Caenorhabditis elegans: one gene and its partners. The protein of the gene in region 2 interacts with the protein of the main gene of each other region in a pairwise test. Each region holds a gene or a part of one and is shown on either strand. Other genes may lie near its edges.

Evidence for each region.
Region 1: the proteins of mdf-2 (region 2) and T19B4.5 interact in a two-hybrid assay, tested with the Caenorhabditis elegans proteins (one large-scale study listed by BioGRID).
Region 3: the proteins of mdf-2 (region 2) and pcyt-2.1 interact in a two-hybrid assay, tested with the Caenorhabditis elegans proteins (one large-scale study listed by BioGRID).

The regions. Positions count from the first base shown.
Region 1 is NC_003279.8:5,672,257-5,676,011, forward strand, and holds the start of T19B4.5 (uncharacterized protein), read left to right. Parts: upstream 1-2,047; 5' UTR 2,048-2,152; coding exon 2,153-2,216; intron 2,217-2,302; coding exon 2,303-2,679; intron 2,680-2,726; coding exon 2,727-3,242; intron 3,243-3,364; coding exon 3,365-3,436; intron 3,437-3,755. Other genes in the region: zipt-2.4 (Zinc transporter ZIP3), read right to left, coding at 479-811, 858-957, 1,008-1,088.
Region 2 is NC_003282.8:2,639,298-2,643,052, reverse strand, and holds the start of mdf-2 (Mitotic spindle assembly checkpoint protein MAD2A), read left to right. Parts: upstream 1-2,028; 5' UTR 2,029-2,042; coding exon 2,043-2,112; intron 2,113-2,162; coding exon 2,163-2,309; intron 2,310-2,373; coding exon 2,374-2,491; coding exon of another isoform or gene 2,492-2,507; exon of another isoform or gene 2,508-3,355; coding exon 3,356-3,418; intron 3,419-3,755. Other genes in the region: Chaperone ric-8, read right to left, coding at 1-66; nduv-3 (NADH dehydrogenase [ubiquinone] flavoprotein 3, mitochondrial), read right to left, coding at 1,034-1,185, 1,642-1,741.
Region 3 is NC_003279.8:2,076,955-2,080,709, forward strand, and holds the start of pcyt-2.1 (ethanolamine-phosphate cytidylyltransferase), read left to right. Parts: upstream 1-2,004; 5' UTR 2,005-2,013; coding exon 2,014-2,072; intron 2,073-2,309; coding exon 2,310-2,403; intron 2,404-3,755.

The DNA of each region.
Region 1 (3,755 bases), on a different chromosome or scaffold from region 2:
TACTGAAGCTTTGCAATTTTAGCAACGGTCTCGACACGACAATTTTTGCTGAATGAAGAAAGGTGTGCGTCTTTAAAAAGTACTGTAATTTCAAATTTTCGTTGTTGCGGAGTGTTATCTCTATTTTTCAAAGTTTTTCGATCAAAAGAATACTTTAGGTTTGAAAAACTACATTATCTACAACAAACCGTTAAAAAAACTATAAAAATCGATAAAAAATTCCGCAGAATGCTGAAGCACCGAGAATTTGAAATTACAGTAATCTTTGAAGGCACACAAATTTTTGCATTTAAATAAATATTGTCGTGTCGAGATTGGTACCGTATTTTTGGCGCAGAAATCGCAAAATTTCACGTTTCAATTATAATTTTGATAGAAAAAACAAAAAGAAGCTAAAAATTAAACTTTTCGAGATGAGGTGTATTTTTGACCCAGAAATTCGCGTATGTTTTACAGCATTTCAATTTTAAAAACTCACCAACAAGGTCGTCTTCTTTTTTCTTAATTTCATCAACAGTATCAGCCATACAACATCCTCCAGCGCCAGAAGCTTCGACACTTTTTGAAGCCAATGGAGGTGTAGTTTCATGATGATGATGATCATGTCCGTGACCATGTCCATGTCCATGAGCAAATGATGGAATTATCATAATAACGACTTCTTCGAGAAAGAAGATAAGAAAGAATCCGAGACAAGATAAAAGTTCTCCGACTGGATAATCGATACGAAAATTATGAACTGTATCGAGGGTTTCAAGATTTTCACGAAGTTCTGGGAAAAGATGAAGGAAACACGTGGCAAGAAAGACTCCTGAAAAATTATAAAACTAATAAAATATTTTAAAACATTTCCGAACCTCCAGAAAAGCATGTCAAAAGGCAGAGAACAAGGGAAACGTGTTTGTGTTTTGATGAGCTCTGAGCTGTCGCTGCTTCATGCCGTAATTTGTGAAGTACCTGAAAAACATTAGTGAAATATTAATACACAAATCTCAATAATTTCTCACTTTTAATGGCGATAATCCAACGATAACTGTGAGCGAAAACATTACAAACATTAACACCAATTTCAGTATTGCTTCGTTCATTTTGTTTTCTGGAAAAAAAACTAAAATAAAAGTTATGCACGAAAAAGTTGGCAACGGGGCGGTCCGGAGGGTGCAGCTGATAAGAATAATTGATAACAGTGTGCTTTGTTCTAGTTTTCAAAGAAAAGTATATAAAAGCGGAAGGGAAATGAGAGAACGCGCGAGAATTCAGTTAAACCAGAAGAATTATTGTTGATATCGATTAGAAGATAATGTAGAATCAGAAATAGTGTGAATAGCGGTTTCAATAATAAAAATAACAATAAAACCAACGGCTATCGAATGTAAATATTTGTATTTGTATTTTAAAAAATCATTTATAATCTAAAGAAAGAAGAAAATTCTTTAAATTTAACGCCAAATTCGGCATAAGGCTGTGCAAAGATGTGCCTTTAGGCCTGCGGGGTGAGGCCTGAATCTCGCAACGACACTCCGAAATAACGCAGACGCGTGCTGTTTAGCAAAAAACAGTTTCAATGACGATTTTTGAATTTTAACCTTAACTTAAATAATTACCCGTTTTCCTTCGAAGTTTCTTTCGTTAAAATGCTAATTTTGGATGTTGTTCATGATGCACTTCATTTCGAATCATCCTAACGTAATTTAAACTCAAAGAAAAATCATAACACTCAGAATATGCTATGAAACGAATAACGGTAGAAGGTTATTGAATAGTCCCACTAGTTTCATTGAAATAGCTTTCATAAGTATTAGGAAATGCATTATTTTGTTCTTTCGATAGTGTTCGATGGTATTACTACAGAAATGTTCATTTTAAAGTTGTCTTCTACGATCGGTAAAAACTGACGATTAACGCGTTTGTTTACAATTGTTTTAATGTTTTAGTTTTAAAGTTTTAAAAACGATTAGGAGTTTTTCATTTTTATTTACACTCATTTTTCTCCTCTCAGCCCTCATTTATCCGACTTGGCGTGTTAAGTCATGTCTCGAATTTTTATAGGTTTTCTCTCTGTATGATTCCGTCTCGGCGACAGCGATACTTTCGCCCGAACTCACCGCCAGTGACATCATCTTCTTCCGGAGCAGGAAGCAGTCACCAGACTATGAATCCATCGAATATGAATGTTTTAGAGCAGGCCGAATTAGTTATCGATGGAGGTGATCCAGGTAATATTTACGAGTTTTATTTACCACCTTTGCAAACACAGCTTTTCGACTTTTTGCATGAGGTATATTAAATTCAAATTTTCCAGGGGATGAACAACAAGTTGCCCATGAAGAAATTGTAGACGACGGTTCGACTGAAATGGTTGTTGATCACCATCATCATCCACAACTTCGTGGTAATCCAATGCATCATCATCACTATGATAACCGTCAATCAGCTCCTGCTTATCAAGTTCCACAACAACAATCTCAATCAATTCGTAGAGGAGTTGGCCGTCCGATGGCTCCTCGTCCACAAAGTTACCCACATAATATGGATATGGTTCAGAAATTGCAAAATAAAAATGTCTATATGCCAGCTCAGCAGAGACCTCAGACAAGAATTTCTCCAGCCGGCGCGAGAATTGTCAGCTTTGCTGGAAGAAAACGAGATAATTCTGATGGGCTTCCTCCAGGTGTAAAGGTAATTTTTTTGGTCGAGATATTAAATTTATTAATATTCCTTTTCAGAAAATGAACATGCCCGCAGCTCGCCCACATCAGCAGCAAACTCAACAACAATCTCATCTGCAGCAAGGTCAACAATCACAGAAAAATCTGCAACCTGTCAAAGTAGTTCGTCTGGCTTCAAGTGTGGCTCGTGCAAATCCGACAGCATCCGAACATGCTCTTATCGAAATCGAGAATAATATCAAACAAACAATAGAAGATGCAAAAGTCGATACTGAGAGATTAAGAGAATTACAAGAAGCTGACTTCTCACAGGATGAATATCATCAATATCTTGGAATGTTGATTATGGATCTGGAAAGATCAAATGAGGCGAACTCGACTCTGACAACATATTATCGCGAACGACAACGACATGAAAAGACTATTTCGGAAGCCAGAGAAAATGCATTTTCAGCTAGAATTCGTCAGTTGGAGACTGAAAATCGAAAATTGAGGGATTCGATTCATGTGATGTATTATGGAAAGTTCAATGAGGCTGGAGGTCATAACAATATTTATCGAAATGATCATATGGTAATTTTCAGTTAAATTACATTTTATTAAATATGAATTACAATATGTTTTTTTACAACTTTCAAAATTGATAAAACAATAAAAATAAGATATCCCTTTTGCAAACATTTATTGGATTTCAGGGTCAAATGATGGTTGAAGAGCCCGAAGAGCATGTTGTTATTGAAGGACACGTGGGCAATAATCAAGAAGGAGTACGTTTTAAAAAAAAGTCTATTATACAAAAAAAAGAGCTTCAATGTTTTGAAATGCAGAATAAAATCTTGAACCTGTAAATTATTTTCTCAAAGCTATGTAAACGGAAAACCAATGACTGAGAACTGAAATTCCATTTTTATTACTAATTTATCTTAAAAGTACACCTTCTGGGGAAATGCAGTCGAAACTCTCCAAAAAACTTAACTGCTTTGTCATCGAGCAAATTTGGAAGAAAGTTTGAATTATTAATTTATAGTGAAATTACGAATTTAGTAAACATCTTGGTTTTTTTAAACTTATCAAAATGTTCGATTT
Region 2 (3,755 bases):
CTCGATTTTGGCAGGCTTCCCGCCGAAAATCGACGCAATCAGGTCGGAATGTAGTTCTTCAGACATGGAATTGCCTGAAAATCATGAAAAATTAATTATTTACGAGAAAAAATGCAATTTCAGGATCGAACAATTCAAAAAATCGCGAATTTTTGTGATGCTAAACAGCACGCGCATGCGGGATTTCGGAGCATCGTTAAAAATTGTTTTAAAAAAAGCGAAAAATTACTTTTTTTCCGAGGTTTTTAATGATTTTTTTTACGGTTTTTGTTGAAAAATAACAGAATTTTAACTGGTTTTCGGAAAAATTTCAGATTTTACTCTCTCCAATCGTATTTATGGCAGAATCAAAGAAACGAGGAGAAAAATAGTGAAAATTCGATTTTTTTTTTTTCACTAGCTTATTCTGAAAAAAAAACCCTTATTATTTGCATCGAAACACCATTTTTGGTCATTTTGAAGTGATTTTTCATTGAAGTAATTGCGAAAAATAATGAAAATCAACAATTTCGATCAAAATTTTGCAATTTTTTCGATTTTTCCCTCGAATCTCTCGAAAATAATGCGATTTTGATTGAAAAAATTAAAAATTCAATGAATATGACATCTGCTTCTCTGAACAAAAGCTAGCGACGCCCATCACCATGGAAACTCGCTGCTAGGTAATCCCTTGTGGCGGCAATCACCGTGGGAACGAGCAGGCATTAAAGAAAAATTGTGCTTCGGCTTATTATTGTGTTAAAATTTATTTTTTTAGGCGGAAAAACAGCAAAAATTCACAAAAAAAATTCGAAAAACCGCCATTTTTTGAGCAATGATAAACAACATGCACGTGCGGAACATCGGAGCATCGTTGTGTTTTTTTCGTTTTTCAACGACTTGTTACTAGATAATTAAGCATGGAAACAGCCATGAAATCAATAAAATTAAAAAATCTATGTAAAAACTCATATTTATACGAAAAATCTACACAAAAAAAATGATAAAATCCACCGAAAACTCTATTTTTCACACAGAAAATGTCGAAAAAAGATTAAGCTCGAACTTTCGGAAGAACGTCGGCCTTCTTGTAGGACGGCTGAACGACACGATCCTTGTTCATGGTGATTTCGGCGTGAGCGTACGAGTATTTGTCGAATTTCAGGTATTCGTCGCATTTGTACAGTGACCAATCGGGTTTTCCGCCTGAAAATTGAGAGATTTTGCGTGGAAATTGGATGGAAATTGGGAAAAACTTGTCTGAAATTCGATTTTTTTTCTAGAAAAATGCACATTTTTCCAGAAAATTAGACTTTTCATAGTTTTTTTTTCTGACAAAAATCGATATTCTGCTCATTTTTAATGTTTAATCAGAATATTTTCGGCTAAAATCGATTTTAACAAGAAAAATGGCGAAAAATCGACATTTTTTGCAGAAACTAGCTTTTTTCAATGAAATTGTAACTAAAAATTTAGCTATTCACAAGTTCTAATGCAAAAAATCAAATATTTCAGTGATTTTACGGGAAACATCGAATTTTCGTGCCATTTCCGCAAAAATTCAACTTTTTCAGCTATTTTTAAGGAATTTTTTGGCTTAAACTTTTTCAATACAATATTATGACGGATTATTATCTAGTTTAGAGTTTCAGAAAGCCATACCAGCGACCTGTCTGGCCTTCTCTGCGTGCTCGATTCCGGTGCTCGTTTTTGGAGCCGCCGACGCCATCCGACGAGCCGAAATAACCATCAAGCGGTTCATTTCTGAAAAAAAAAACTTATTTATCAATTATTTTACCAAAAAATCAATGAAAAAACTGAAAGAAACAATGAAAATCGATGATTTTCGAGATTTTTAATTAATTTCTTTTCCGAGTCGCGAGAAAAATCGATATGTGCCTTGGACGCTTGCTGGCGCGTTTCGTGATGTTTATTGGCGCGTTTCTCGTGCAATTGTTTCGGCGGGAGAATTCGAATCTTAAACTGTTTGCGGCGCGTTTTCGGTCATTTTTCTTCGATTTTTAATCAGTTTTTATCGTTATTTTGCAGGGAATTCATCAGAAATGACGGATGTAAAGACACAAAACGCGATTTCCCTCAAAGGATCTGCCCAACTCGTCAAAGAGTTCTTCCGTACGGTTTTCCCCTGCAAAAATTCGCGATTTTATCGTTTTTTATTTCAGATTTCGGCCTTAACAGCATTCTCTATCAACGTGCGCTTTATCCATCAGACAGTTTCAAGCGTGAGAAGAAGTACGGGCTCACACTGTGGGTGGCTCATGAGAAGAAGCTCCAAGCGTTCATGGATCCACTTTTGCAGCAAGTTGAATGTAATTTTTTTGCGGCGGCGGGGGAAATTCGAATTTCAGCGTTAAAATCATCTGAAGTTTGCAGATTGGCTCGCGAAAAGACAGCTGAAACGGTTGGTGATGGTGATTTCCGAGGTGAAGACGAAGGAAGTCGTGGAAAGATGGCAATTCGATATTCATACAGAGAATTTGGCCGAGGAAGGGTACGAAATCGTTTGAAAACTGGCTCAAAGCTGCAAAATCCGGCGTCAAGCTCAATTTTTTCCGCTAAAACTGGGGAATTTGGCTGAAAAAATCTTCAGAATGGTCATTTTTCCTGTTGAAATTGTTGAAATTGGCCAAGTTTTGCGATTAAAATCTCCTAATTATTGGCGCGTTTTTGAAGTTTTTTAACTGAATTGTCTCAATTTTTAGGTTACTCTCAGCTTTTCCGGAGCAATAAATTGATTTTTTCTTGAGAATTTCTTTAAAAATTGGAAATTTACCGATAGAAGTTACAAATTTTCGCACGTTTTGATTAATTTTCAGCATTTTTTTCGGATTTTTTTGTTTCAAAATTCTCACTGAAACCCACTAATTGCATCACAAACCCCCTCAAAAAGGTGTGATATGTATACATTTCTCATTGTCTCATAATCCCTTTCAACAACAAAAACCTCTTGACTCTCAAGTGCTCCGGCAACCGCCCTATGATGACGCAATAGACATTATACCAAGAGGAGAGTCTTCAGAAGCATAACAGGTGTGCTCAGCCGGAAGCAGAGAGGTCAAGGAGATGCTTAATTTGCAAAAAACTGAAAAAAAAAGCGAAAAAAAAATCGATAAATCGATAAATCCCTGGCCCCCACCGGCATGTCTATGCACTCGCGCCCTCAGTTTTTGGATCCTATGTGGTCTAGTGGTTAGGATTCGTGGTTTTCACCCACGCGGCCCGGTTTCGATTCCCGGCATGGGAAGTTTCTTTTTGTAAGGGCAATTTCAGGGTTTCAGGGCCAATTTTCAACTTTTCTAAGGTCAAATTTCGTAATTTTCATAAATTTTTAGACCTAAATTCCCAATTTTTGCAGAGAAAACGCGCACCGCGTCAAGGAGGAGAAGAAGATTCGGCAGGAGATTAGCGATGTGATTCGGTACGGCTTTCAAAAAGGACAAAAAGAAGAAAAGAACCCCCGAAAATTTGAGAAATTTGATTAGAAATAACCAAAATACAAATTTGTGGCGTCAGGTGGTGTGATGGTGCTCTTATTGGTTGGGAGAATACCATATCTAGGCGACAGACGTGTTTTATTTGACTAATTGGTGGAAGAAGGAAGGAAAGAGATGATCCTCAATTATATTTGTATTATGGGTTTTTAGACGGAAATTATACGCAAAAAAAATGGAGGAAAACGTAAAAGTTTTGAGAATTGACGCAAAAAGTTGGAAAAAAAAAAGTTTTCCAGTGAAATTCGACCAAAAATCGCCGGC
Region 3 (3,755 bases), on a different chromosome or scaffold from region 2:
TACGAAGCAGACGTTCTGTGTTCAATACTTGACCATTCTCCCCCCGCCAGAAATGATCGATAAGAGGTGGTCCTCGGAGACCCGCGCGCGTGCGCATAGGTCACCTGATCACGTGGTGAAGGGCAACTGCCATTGTTTCAACGCCGGAATATTTTTTGAACCTTTATTGATTATCTCAAGTTTCTTATCAAATTTTCGAAAATTTGCCTTTCTTTTGTGTAAGGGGAAAATGGAAAAATTACGATTTTTGTTTCCATCGGAAACAAACAAAATGTGTTTTGTGGTGTGACCAAACGTCATTTTGTGTTGTTTTCTTGAAGTTTCTAGACGCGAAAAATAGAAAAATAATTAAAACTTTCTATAAAATTACCAACTTTCAGATTTCGGAAGGATTTTATTAAAAAAATTGGCAACATTTTTGATTTTCAATGAAATTTTTTTAAGGTGGAGTGCGCCCAGTGGGAAAATTGCTTCACAATGGCCGAATATCATGATTAAAAAATTCAAAAAAAATTTCTAAATTTTATATGATTTTTTGAAAATTGAAAAATCTCAGTTTTCCCCTAATTTCTATTTGAATTACCGCCAATTGGGTTCGTTCGATGGAGCGCGCTTGCACTATTTATTTTATTTTTCTCATTATTTCACTGATTTTCTTCATTATTTGTGTATTTTTATCGGAAAAAGAGAGAAAAATGCAAGGTAAATGCTTATAAGATTTATTAAAAAGTAACTGAAAATGAGTAAAACTGTGGAATATGCTATTTTCAGGATTTTTGGCGTCGAAACACAGTTTTACCCATTTTCAGTAATTTTTTAATGACCAATTTGCATTTTTCTCTATTTTTCCGATTAAAAACCCCCAAAAAACGAATAAAATCAGTGAAATAATGAGAAAAATAAAATAAATAAATAAAAATAATGCAAGTGCGCTCCATCGAACAATTTCAATTGGCGGTAATTCAAATAGGAATTAGGCAAAAACTGAGATTTTTCAATTTTCAAAAAAAAATCATATAAAATCTAGAAAATTTTTTGAATTTTTTTATCGTGATATTCGGTCATTGTGACCCTATGGGCATGTTTTAAAGCAATTTCCCCACTAGGCTTACTGAGTAGAAAAATCCCGGAAGTGCAATTTTTGAATTTTTTGTGAGAAACTCCTCCACAATTCGTCATTGAAAATGAAAAAACTCGACTAAATATTTTTTCCATGACAGGCGGTCTGCTCCGGGTTCGACGTCCTTTTCGAACTGATAACGTCACAATTTTTTTCTTTTTTTTTCCGCATTTTTTCATTCCGATTGCTATTTAATCGGGTGATGTCGGGGTCACTCTTCAATGTCCGTTGACTACATTGTTTTAATTTATTTTTAATTGACTCCAAATTTTCCCCTGATTTCGAATATCTATGTGAAAAAATTCAAAAAAATTTCCCTGATTTTATATTTAAGCTTGAAATCGCTTGTACTAGCATCACTTTTTTTCAAATTCGCGCCCAAAGAAATTCGCATTGGAGCGCGCTTTGATTTTCTTCATTTAAATATTTTATTTATTTTTCGCCGAATGCAGTTTTTTGAAAACCAGTTTCATTCATTTTTGTCGAGCTTTTATCGATTTTTTTCGACAAAAATGAATAAAACTGGTTTAAACTGAATTCGGCGGAAAATAAATAAAATATTTAAATGAAGAAAATCAAAGCGCGCTCCAATGCGAATTTGTTTGGGCGCGAATTTTAAAAAAAGTGATGCGGGGGACAAATGAAATTCTACGATTTCAAGCTAAAATATAATATCAGGGAATTTTTTTTGAATTTTTTCACATAGATATTCGGAATTAGGGGAAAATTTGGAGTAATATAAAAAATATTTCACAGATTTCGGTACTCAACCTTTAAAATTTTAAGTGAGAAAATATTATTAACGTGATTTTAAATTTTTTTTTCTTCTGCAACAATTTGAACTTTGATCTTAAATTAAAAAAAAAAATTATTTTTAAAATTTCAGTTCAAAAATGAGCGGATTAGCACCAGATGGACTGCCCAAAGGAAATCGAGTTTGGGCTGATGGATGGTTGGTTTTTGGCTGGAATCGACACGTGGTGTCAAAGTGTCTCTTTTCGGTTTGATCTACAAAAAATGTGGGATTTTTTTTCCAAAAAAATGTGACGTCAGCACGTTCTTAACCAATTTTTGTTGAAAAGTCTGCGTCTCTTTTCCCGCATTTTTTGTAGATCTCTACGTAGATCACGCCGAAATGAGACACTTTGACACCATGTGAATTGAGCCTTAAAATGAATTAATTTTCCAGTTATGACATGGTGCATTTCGGCCATGCAAATCAATTACGGCAGGCTAAGCAGTTTGGACAGAAGTTAATTGTTGGAGTACATAATGATGAAGAGGTTTTCAATATTTTTTTCTCCCTAAAAAGAAGATGGGAATATGCAAATTTTTGTTAAAATATTAGCAGTTTTTAAGTCGTAACTCGTAAATTGCGAAATTTTTCCCTATAACACACTTGATCTACGCTGATCTACAAAAAATGCGGCAGAGTTCTTAACTCATTTCGTATGGTTAAGAACGTGCTGACGTCACATTTTAATGGGAGAAAAATTCCCGCATTTTTTGTAGATCAAACCGTAATGGGACAGGGACCCCTGGCACCACGTGGCTATAAATTATTTTAAAAATCAACTTCTGTGAATTATTTAAATTAATTTTCACTTTAAATTACGATAGTTCAGGTAAAAAATATTGTTTAAATAATTCAATTATTCAATTTTCCTTATTAAAAGCCACGAATTAAAAAGAAATTTCGTGACTTGACAAAAATTTTAAAGGAACACGCGTGTGTGACCCTTTAAGGAGTACTGTACTTTTAGCTATTTTGCAGTTTTTTTTCATTTTTTTCGAGATCGCGTCGAGACCCGAAATAGTTGGCATCTGGTAAATATTCTGATTGAATGGATATTTTCGTTATAATTTGGGGTTGCATGGAAAAAAAAAGAATATTTTACAATATTTTTCACTAAATATATCGTAAGTTAGGGTATATTGTGGTAATCATTAAAAATTTTTAAATTTCAGATCGAAATTTAGCAAAAAAAAAACATTTTTAGTGACTAAAAAAACATATTCGTTTCTAATTTCCAATTGAAATAGAAAAAAAAACGTTAAGTAATATTTTTTTTTATTGCAATTTTTTCCGACCTTTAAAGGTGGAGTACCGAAATCTGGGAAATATTTTTAATTGACCCCAAATTTTCCCCTAATTCCGAATATCGATGTGAAAAAAATTAAAATTCAAAAAAAATTCCCACGATTTTATATTTAAGCTTGAAATCGCCGAATTTCATTTGTTTTTCCCGAATCACTTTTTTCAAATGCGCGCCCAAAGAAATTCGCATTGGAGCGCGCTTTGATTTTCTTAATTTAAATAAATATTTTATTTATTTTTCGCCGAATTCAGTTTTTTAAAACCAGTTTCATTAATTTTTGTCGAAAAAACCGATAAAAACTCGACAAAAATGAATAAAACTGGTTTTTAATAAAACTGAATTCGGCGAAAAATAAATGAAATATTTAAATGAAGAAAATCAAAGCGCGCTCCAATGCGAAGTTCTTTGGGCGCGAATTTAAAAAGTGATTCGGGGGCACAAATGAAATTCGGCGATTTCAAGCTTAAATATAAAATCACGGAATTTTTTTTTTGAATTTTTGGAATTTTTTCACATCGATATTCGGAATCAGGGGA